Bombyx mori: one gene and its partners. Each later gene encodes a partner of the first gene's protein in a complex. Links are inferred from orthologs where the notes say so. Each region holds a gene or a part of one and is shown in the gene's direction. Other genes may lie near its edges.

What was found.
Region 2: Surf1 (region 1) and mitochondrial import inner membrane translocase subunit Tim21 share a complex: the UniProt entries of both Homo sapiens proteins name them as parts of the MITRAC (mitochondrial translation regulation assembly intermediate of cytochrome c oxidase complex) complex. The link is inferred for Bombyx mori from reciprocal best matches to the Homo sapiens genes SURF1 and TIMM21.
Region 3: Surf1 (region 1) and small integral membrane protein 20 share a complex: the UniProt entries of both Homo sapiens proteins name them as parts of the MITRAC (mitochondrial translation regulation assembly intermediate of cytochrome c oxidase complex) complex. The link is inferred for Bombyx mori from reciprocal best matches to the Homo sapiens genes SURF1 and SMIM20.

What each region holds. Positions count from the first base shown.
Region 1 is NC_085107.1:11,546,181-11,550,323, forward strand, and holds the start of Surf1 (surfeit 1), read left to right. Parts: upstream 1-1,305; 5' UTR 1,306-1,402; coding exon 1,403-1,576; intron 1,577-2,454; coding exon 2,455-2,576; intron 2,577-2,936; coding exon 2,937-3,134; intron 3,135-3,225; coding exon 3,226-3,399; intron 3,400-4,143. UniProt on the Homo sapiens protein: Component of the MITRAC (mitochondrial translation regulation assembly intermediate of cytochrome c oxidase complex) complex, that regulates cytochrome c oxidase assembly.
Region 2 is NC_085110.1:12,601,670-12,605,185, reverse strand, and holds mitochondrial import inner membrane translocase subunit Tim21, read left to right. Parts: upstream 1-1,339; 5' UTR 1,340-1,771; coding exon 1,772-2,119; intron 2,120-2,337; coding exon 2,338-2,520; intron 2,521-2,693; coding exon 2,694-2,840; 3' UTR 2,841-2,907; downstream 2,908-3,516. Other genes in the region: transmembrane protein 231, read right to left, coding at 3,224-3,483. UniProt on the Homo sapiens protein: Participates in the translocation of transit peptide-containing proteins across the mitochondrial inner membrane.
Region 3 is NC_085120.1:2,850,785-2,853,713, reverse strand, and holds small integral membrane protein 20, read left to right. Parts: upstream 1-1,344; 5' UTR 1,345-1,525; coding exon 1,526-1,640; intron 1,641-1,726; coding exon 1,727-1,783; intron 1,784-2,282; coding exon 2,283-2,335; 3' UTR 2,336-2,427; downstream 2,428-2,929.

The sequences.
Region 1 (4,143 bases):
GGTCAGGTTTCCTTGTGATAGTATATTTAAATGTTATTCTGTGTTGTAGGTGTCAAACATTAACATAAATATCTGAAGAAAGGTGCTGTACCATCTATATTTTCATGGAATATGAAACCAGTTTCTGAAGAAACAAAAAGTAGAGAAGTTATGTAATTTTAGAGAAGGAATTGTCAATAAAAATAATTAAAAATATTCCTGATTTTTTATTTCGACAAGTATGTATAGTTATAATACAGATATTTCTCATACAATGCTTCTTTGAAAATATTTTCATAAAAGATATCTAATTTATTTAACATATTATTTATAAAATTATTGTCTTTTTCAACATAAATCACTTTGATGTCCTTGTAGGTGTAAATGACCAAGTTGCAGTATGTTTTGCCTGAGCAGTATAACTGTCATTGGATTTGATAATAATATGGGCAGGTTTTTTTAGTGACAATATCCCGTTACATTGTTCTAAATAAGGCACCGTTGTTATATTTATTTCATGTTTTCTGCTAGCGTATGGACATTTCACTTCAATTATAGCTTCTTCGCCCAACACACCATCAGGAGATGCAGCAAGATATGGGCGCTCTTGGCTAATGAAAATGCCTCATGGCTCCACTAGCAAATCATATATATTAGCATATTTTGCTAGAGCATTTTTTTCATTTTGTTTCAAAATTAAAATTTTGGTCATATAGCTCTAATCTGAAAAAAGTAAAATAATATATTAGTTGGTAGGTAATGTGTGTAATATGAGCAATTCTTTTTGCACATGCTACAAGGAATAAAGTTCCTAAGGTACACAATTTAATATTATTATTATAATAGCTACCGGAAACAGTTTGAGAGAAGTTTTCTAAGTTAAAATAAAACATCAACATTGTACCTTTCGACAATATCCACTTTTTTTCTTCGTAAAGATGCAACACGTTTTCTCAACTCCTCCTTTAATTCTTTAACTATCCAGTTGGAATACATGTTGTAAAATTGTTTAGCACTACTTAGAAAGTAATAAGAACCGTATCAAAGTCACAAAATGCCAAAATATCACGAACGCAAAACACACAAAATGGCGGCTCTCTGTGACAAGGGAACAAGCTACGCTGGCGACATCTGAGAAAAGCTTTAACCGGCCAACCCCATTGGCTTTTTTGCCTTGAAATATAAAATTAAATATGAAAATATTAAACTTAAGAATTGGCTGTATGGCTTAGTTCCATTGCCTTTCTCTTCGAGAAAAACCTTACTACTACTACTTTCTCTGAATACTTACCTACTTATCTATTATCCTAATCTGTGATACATATAGGTACCTACTTAAAAGTATATAATCTATGCTACCTACCTACTACCTACATAAATAAATCACTTGGTAGGTTACAAAAAAGAAGGAAGTAGATACAGAATGTTTAACAATATTTTTAAAATATCGCGAAATTTAAATATCATTTCCAATACTTTTATTAAAAAAGGATCTGTCAGTAATGTGAGATTTAATACGAATATTGCAAATATTATGCGATCACAGAAGGTCAAAAGAAAAGAAGAACCGACTGAAATATACAAATGGATCTTACTGGTAAGGTTAAAAAGATATGATTTTATTCAATTTTGAGTTCGATTTTAGGCTTTCATCTTACAAACCAGAGTAAGCAGGTCTAAGAACTGTTAAAAAATGTAAGTACATCATTTTTCTTCTCAGGAGGATCATCATTAAATTAAAATGACTAAATAATACTTAAAGGGCGTTTATAAATAAAGGAATGATGAAAAATGTCCTATAAAATCTCGTACTTACAAAAAAATTATCCTCAAAGCATGTAAAAAAAAAAAATAAGGATGATTTAAAATGAGAAATATGTGCTGTCTCATTGAGAAGAATATATTGACATTCATCAACTCACCTCAAATAAGTAAACGTAAAAACGCATGATTATATGTAAAATGAATATATATAAAAGTTGCCTAAAGATATCAACAAAATTTTATTTGATGTTGATTAATTCAAATTTGGCAAATAGCATCTTACTCGAGCATCTTTAACAACAAAGTAGTTGAAACATCAGAAGTGTATGAATGAAAATGAAAAAAGAAACATGAGATAAAATAGTAAAAAAATCTTGATGGTATATTATTTTTTTATCATGTTTAGTTCTATAGAAAATTCTGTCTATTAATTTGGCCCTGGTTGTAATGAAACATTAGAAATTGTAAAGGAAAAAATAAACATCAAATCAAACAGTAAAACAGTCTTGTAAAGTCTCTTTGGCCTTATTTTCTGTGTAATTTATGTTGAAGATAAAAAGATGACTATAACTAATGTTGATGAATCATGAACATTTGTATTAATTTTTGTAACACTTATTAAGCTATTACATATTTTCTAATCAATATAATATATGTAGATAATATATCACACATGCATATATTTATTTTTAAAATTTTCTTTCATTCCAGATGATACCAGTTACTTCCTTTACTCTTGGTTCATGGCAAGTGTACAGATGGCAATGGAAGCTGGGGCTCATTGACATGATGCAAGCTAAATCCAATGCTGTCCCAATCGACATGCCAAAAGAGTATGCTGATTTCCAATAATGAATTTAACTTTTACTTTCTGTAAAATTATGTTTGCCTTCACAGCATTTCTGATTTTTTTAAGTATTACCAGAATTCATAGACACTGCAATATGAATGCAGCGACACACCATGATATAACATCAAAATTTAAGGTGTATTGTATCTACTACTACTATGGGTACCTTTCTGCACTTGTAGTTGATACCTACTTTCATGCTAACTCACTCCCATAATATAGATTGTATGCTAAATTAGAAACATTGTGAGTTTGATTTCATTAAATTTTGAGATGCTCAAACAATTATTATATTTATCTAGAATTATATTAATATATCTAATGAAAAATTGTGTTTCTCAAGCTTTTCAGAATTAGAAAAAATGGAATATTTACCAGTGAAAGTAAAAGGAGAATTTTTGCATGAAAAAGAGATATTAATAGGTCCTAGAGCACTCATAGAAGAGAGTTCTATCACCAATAGAGTTGGTTCACTTGTATCTGACCCGAAAAAAAACCAAGGGTGGTTGGTGATCACTCCGTTTAAGTTAGCTGACACAGGGTATTACCAAAATGAATGAAATACAATAATACTATTATAAACAATATGTTAAAAATTGAATTTTTTAATTATCACATTTTGTTAATTTCAGAGAAGTCATCTTGATAAACAGAGGTTGGATTCATCAAAATTTAAGGCCTAAAGAAAAGCGAGAGCCATCTTTAATAAAGGGTCCTGTTGAGCTAACTGGTGTTGTAAGGTTAACAGAGAAAAGAGCTCCTTTCATGCCTAAAAATAATCCAGAAAAAGGCTCATGGTTTTACAGGTTGAAATTTTTTTATTCAATGGCCTAACTCATGCCTCATGACAACTCTTTGTGGAAAAGCCTTCTTTATTGCCAATAATGAACGACAAGCTTGCAGTCCATCTGATTTTAAATCTGCAGTTCATTTGTACATATTTGAAACTATGAAATTGTTTTTTTTTGAGAAGTTTAAAAAAAAAAGCAAATTGAATAAATATTTATTCAGCTTATAAAAAAAATTGAATTTTGTCTGAATAGGTTAAATTATGTGCAAGAATGTTCATAATTAATAGTTTTGGATATTTCTGCTCTGATCTACGATTACTATATTATGATAATAGTAGTCCTCTGAAGAATTGTTTTAAATGATTCAGTTCTGATTGAACATGTAACTGGCAAAGTAGTTTAGTTAACCATAAATATATGGTAACTTTGCAAGTAGAACAATTTATAGTTATTATGTGGATGAATGGCTTCACTTTATATACAGCGCATTTTCAGAGAACTATCATCCTAGTATTGGAATGTCTCATCAGCCTTAACTATACTAAGGCATGTATTTCAAAGGATGGTTGAAGAGTCCTTAGATTTAGGGAATGAGCTGTTTTGCTAAGTTTTTGTCTTTGTTGGTGTTCATGAGTGACAGTAACTAGGATCTGGTGAGCCGTAAGTTAGTCTGTCATCAAAGGCATTAATAATGTTATGAATATTTTCATCATGATCACTTGTTGAAGGCAGAGTATAATTGTGAACATTTAAAATATT
Region 2 (3,516 bases), on another chromosome or scaffold:
GTAGACCATTTCTTAGAAAATCATAATTCAAAATTAGAGAATTTTAAAACATTCACCACTTTCGCTATTCGGTATCTCGGTTATGGGAAAAAGGTTGTAAGGCTACAACGAGCTCAATTTACGTTGTATATCAGAATAACGTGGTATTTTAATTAACAATTGATAGGTTATAGTTTCCGGTGCATCGTACAATACATTGAAAAATAATAAAAGTAGTAGAGTAATTGAAATTATGACAAAGTAATTACAGTACATTAATAAATTATGCAACCAGCTGTAACAATAAACCTAAAACTAAAAACCTTACAAAATAATAATTACAATAATAATTGCCATAATCGGCAATCTATTTTTATATAGCGCTTTTAAAAAATTGTATTTTTAATACCTTTTTTGAAAAATATTGTGTAATTAATAATAACTTAATACGTGATTCGCTACAATACAAACAGCTACTAGACTTAACATGTCCGCGGAACTAAACAGCTTCAAACAGCTACTAGACTTAATATGTCCGCGGAACTAAACAGCTACAAACTACAAACAGCTACTAGACTTAACATGTTCGTGGAACTAAACAGTTCCGCGAACATGTTTACTGGAACTAGTTCCGACACTCAAAAGAACGATGTCATGTTCAATCCAGTTCCGAACATGATTAGCGCACGTCTACAACGGACTAAGACAAAAAACTTAATTGCAATGTTCAAGTTCAAACCAGTGATCTAAAATGATTTTAATCATAGATTATACACTTCTCTGATTGAAATAAAAACAGATTTTGACATTTACAGCGGTTTTTTTTAAGGAATTTTTGGACCTGGTAACTAAGATCTTTAAGTCATGTCTTATTATTATTAAAATTCTTATTTTATGAAAAATGATAATATGGAGTGAAATGAAATGAAATGAAGATTAATTTGAAACATTAATCAACTGGGATTAAATTAAATGAAATGAGATGATATGGGATGATATATAATCTCAGTAAAATGGTGGTCATTTACTGTGACTTTTTCAATGGACTTTTTGGAAGATTCCCACATTTATGCACTTTCACAGATACTAAACAGCTATTAAGTACACATTGAAACCTGAAGAAACACTAAATAGACAAAATAAAACAAATCACACAACTTCACTCTTCGCGTTCCCGCCAAAAAGTCTATTAATATTATAAATTAGTTACCTACTACATATAGAGTGGCTAATCGAAGAGTTTTCTCTATGTTATTGGATATATCCATTTATAAATAGAGAATGGTTTTACTTTTTTAAATTGATGCTTCTTCAGATTTTAACGAGCAACATTAGTGGCTTATAGGCTTTGTAGTATCGGTGAAAAAGCACAAATATAGAAAAATTAAATCGATTTGCTTAACATAGCTTTTTCCGAAAAGTCCAATGACGTTTCTACCGTTCAGTAAAATACTGAGTATTTTATTTTATCTCATCTGAACTCCTTTAAATTCTATTTCATTTCTTTTAAAATTTTTACTTAAGTAGTGTAATATTTTATATTTTTTATTGTTTTTAACATTTTCTTTTTCGTGTAATAAAAGTGGCTGTTTCGCTAAGTTTCATTTGCCTGACTAATTAACAAATAAGATAGTTTGATTGATAGCAATGATAGCTACGTAAACTTCAAAATTAAGTAAATAACTAAGGTTATTTTTATCAACTTTATAGGAAATTTTTGACGATGAAATAACAATAAGGAGGTTGAGTTTTTTTTAACCATTCTGTTAAATAGCACACTTAAAAGTGAACGATGACTTTAATATCTAAATTTTTACCGCTTTTACGGAACGGTAGCACCACTGAAAAGATTCCTGCCATATTACAAACTAAATTTAGAACTAATACCCGTTACTTCTCTTCTGAAAAAGAAAGTGGTTTGACTAAATCCAAAAGCAAAGAAAGTGCTTCCCATGTATCTACAGATGTAAGACCCTTAGGAGAAAAAATCAAAGAAACTACAAAAACTGTTTCTTACACCGGCGTAATACTTCTCGGTGTCGGAGTCACAGGTGTGATTTTCTTTTACGTTTTTCGAGAACTGTTCTCAAGTAACAGTCCGAACAGCATTTACTCAGAAGCTCTTGAGAAGTGCAAACAGGTAAATTACCTTGTGTGAAAGAAATCTTGTTTACATTATGATAAATTTACAGATTATTTAATAAACAAGGTCAAATTTTTCTATATCATTAATCATTAGCATTGCATAATGCAGAATGCAGTACAGTAGTCAGTATTAAAGTAAGTAATGAACAGGGGAAACAAACACTATTTAAAGTATTGTTTACCAAGTATTTATTAAATTATTGTCGATTGCAGGATCCTAGAGTAGAAGATGCTCTTGGTGCACCAATAAAAGGTTATGGAGAAGAAACAACTAGGAGAAGACGTACCCATGTCAGTCATGCAGTATATGAAAAAGATGGAGTGAAACATATGAGAATGAGATTCTATATTAAAGGGATAAGAAATAAAGGTGTTGTTGAACTTGATATGAAACAAGTAAGTTCTGTTTAAATAGAAATGTGTTTAACAACTTAAAAGTTCAAATAACACCATACATCTGAATAATTTGTATACACCTCATCAATTTCTTATAATCTCTGTTTAAAATTTTCTATTTTAATAAATTCATTTAAAATCTTTCCAATTCACCAGTACACTTGTTTTTTCAGAATGATTATGGAAACTATATGTGCAGATATTTGCTGGTACAACTTGATGACTACAGTGGAAAAACATTTATAATTGAGGACAACCGAGCTGAATTAGATAATACCAAACCTGATATCGCATTTCCAACCTTAACTCTCACTCAGTGATATAAAATTAACTATGTAACATGTAAATAGTAAAGTAGATATCGAATAAATGATTAGCAAAATAAAATTGTTTCGTTTCATATTATTATGTAAAGTTTTAGTTTAAAAAATAATAAATATAGTGAGCACTTTCATATTGAAATCTTTTAAATATATAGAATACTATACCTTCTTCTGACACCATAAGAATAGTTTTGGAATATGAATCTTATTAATTAAATTCTTTGAGCCAATGAAACTTAATGCTTATAATATCATTTTATTGCAAACATTAAAACATGTTTATCCTTATTAATAATTAAAGTGAATTTTACAGTGAAGACTAGAAATTGGCACAAATCAATTATTTCGCAGTACAATTTTATAGATCTTACATAAGTTCGTCATTCAAATGTTTTCCAAGATTGTACTTTCCATGACATGAGAAGTCGATTGGTAAATATAAATTCCTTAACTTTATTGAAGAACCAATGGAATATCACTACAAAAGAGAGATATTGAGGCCAAGCCCACTTAAACTCTTCTAGTATACTAGGAGTGTATCTTATTTGCATCTCTGGAATTCTTAGATGAACTTGAACAGTCATAGAATCTGTCTGGCCATTGTAGGTTCTAGAATTTATCGTTCTGACTTCTGTGGTAACTGAAAATAGTTTATTTTTTGGTTATGAATGTA
Region 3 (2,929 bases), on another chromosome or scaffold:
AATATTTGCGTTTATTCTTATTTTATTAATTTAATGTAATTTAAATTAATAAAATAAAAACTTGCCATGCACAGGCCTATATGGCTGAAACGGAAGAGAGAGTTGCCAAGCGCCAAACTTAAAATTAGCAACTTTGAACTTAGGTGCTACCATTACAATATTACAAAATAATTCTAATGTTCATATTCTGATTACAGAGTTTAAAAAAATGTCAAATAGAAAAGTTGTGGAGAATTTAATTCTCTACAATATTAACAATAAATACAAACAGCGTAAAACCCATAGAAAACGATATATTTGCAAAAAATGTGAAAAAAATCGACTTTGTACCCTTGATCCCTGATTTTAAAACTTGCGGCTATCCAATTATATGTGAATTTGTAGAATAGTTTTAGGATGCCAAAATACAGGTTTTCATGTGGTAATATACTGGGTAGGTCGATTTTCCGAGATCAACCCCTTTTAATGACTGGACTATACAAGCCTCTTAAACACAGCTATTCATAGGAAATAGGATGTATCTGGACTGGTCTCTGGTAAATTTGCGACATCCTGAGGTACTATTTATTGATCAGAGCGTGTTATTGTAGCGTGGTATTTGATACGTTCACAGCGGACATTTTGTTATATGTATTATTACACCCTAAATATATTTTGATCTCTTTCCTACACTAAATTGAAGTTAATGCGTACGATAAAGAAGTCTAGGTATGTCTTAGACTACTGTAAGGAAAATAGCGAGGCGTTTTAGACCTTATTTCAGTAAACTAGTATTTTCTTAATGGTTGTTTGGTATTTGTCGAAATGCATACAATTGTGGGGAATAAAGTACTTTAGGCCATATCTTTTTGGTAAAAAAATCACAATTATAACTGACCATAAACCGTTATGTAATATATTTGTTTGGAATAAAAATCCGTCAAGTAGATTGCTAAAACATAGATTAACATTAGAACAATACAATTTTAATATCACTTAAATTAAAGGAAAAGATAACTGCGTATCGGATGCATTGTCTAGGTTACCAACAAACTCGGACGAATTAAAATGTATTAACTCAGTATTGTTAACAGTAATTACTAGAGCGCAAAAGAAAAAAATAAGCGACGTGGAGGATGATACAGAAACTCATATCAATATCAATGACACGGGCAATCGGACTGATCACCCGAAAGTTGTGGAATTGTTGCGGATACTTTCCCAGTTCTTTAGAAAAATCAATTGAAGTTCCAGTAAATTTGTAATATTTTACATAATTCTAATAAAATAATTTTTGGTTTAGGTAACATTATTTATCTCCCACTCCAAAAAATTTAGCTTAGGCTGTATGAGAAATATTTCTTTTACTACTCTTAGTGGACAATAATAAAAAAAAAAAATGTCATTTGAAAATCAGCTGGTTATCAATAATATAAGTTCAGGATATTATTTGTTATATGGTTATAGTCGAAATACAAATTATCAAAATCGATAAAACTCATAATTCTGAATGTCTGTACACATTTCATGAAAATAAAATTTTGAAATGGCTATATTTCGTGGTTGGCGTTACACAGCTTTTATCGGCGGTTTTATTGGTTTATTAGGATTAACTCTTTATCCGATAGCAATAAGTCCGATGATCGATGTCTCTGAATACAGTAAGATAATAAATTACTGGTATTACGATTTCTTCATTTTTCACTACTTTGTTTCTTAACTTGGCTGTTGTTCAATTTAATTTCAGAACAGATTCAAAAAGAAGCTAGAAAAAACATACGACAAGAAGACATCCAACCTGGAAGTAAGTTTAAAAGCTATTGCCATGGAAACTTTAGTAATAGAGTTGAAATATAATTAGAAACTTTGTATTTATTGTATAGATGGATGAATGAGCTCACGACCCAACTGGTGGTGAGTGCTTACCGGAACCCTCAGATAACACATGGACGTTGTAATTAACTGTGGGACTTAGTTGTTTATCTCAATTGTATAGTAATTAAAGTGGTAACTAACTTTATAAAAAAGAATAAGCTTATAGTGATTTTTAAGCATATATTGTGCATGTGAGCTCCAATCACATATATAAACAACTAAACCAGTAACTGCAAAGTTGTGAATGATAAACTTAGTGGTATAGTTAGTTATATTTGACATGGTTGACAGAGGTGGGTAGCAGCGTTTATGTTGTAGATGTCTATTGGCTCCGGTAACCAATTAACACCAGGTGGGCTGTGAGCTCATCCAATCTAAAAAAGAAAACAGAAGATGAAAAACATTGAAAATGTACTCTGTCTTTACAGATATGAAAGTATGGTCCGATCCATTCGAACGAAAGAAACCGGAGCATGATTGATACAAATTCACCTTAGGTAGTTGTCAGATTGACTTTATTAATTAGTATTGTAAATAAAAAGCTTTCAAACAATAAAATTGAGTTAATATATCTTTTAAGATTTTTCATTATTATTTTTGTACTTTCGATTCTTGTAGTATGTTGTAGATTCTGCTTCTTCGGCAGATGATATCTAGATCCCATAGATCTTAATTGTATTGTACAATGGATCTCATCTATCTGTCTAGATTGAGGAAGAATCTATCTAGATGTTAATCATCCGATTTGGTGTATATTTAGAAAAGTAATAAAACATAACACAGTGTATAGATATTTAATTTCGAAATTGCAAATAGCGCGATATATTCGCCGAATTTCAAATACTTTAAAGCCTTATAAAACAGTGGAGCACTTTTATATAAAAATATTTAATTTTGTCATATCCGTCGAGATATTTACATGTGATTTTTTCCATAAACTATACTGTAAGCGAATATCGTACACGAATAGTTCAATATCGCCGTAAGTAAATATTGTGGAAATATAAGCAAGCTGCCTCATATTAATTTGGTCTATGGATGCATCGTTACTTACATTCTAGTTGTACCTTTTGAA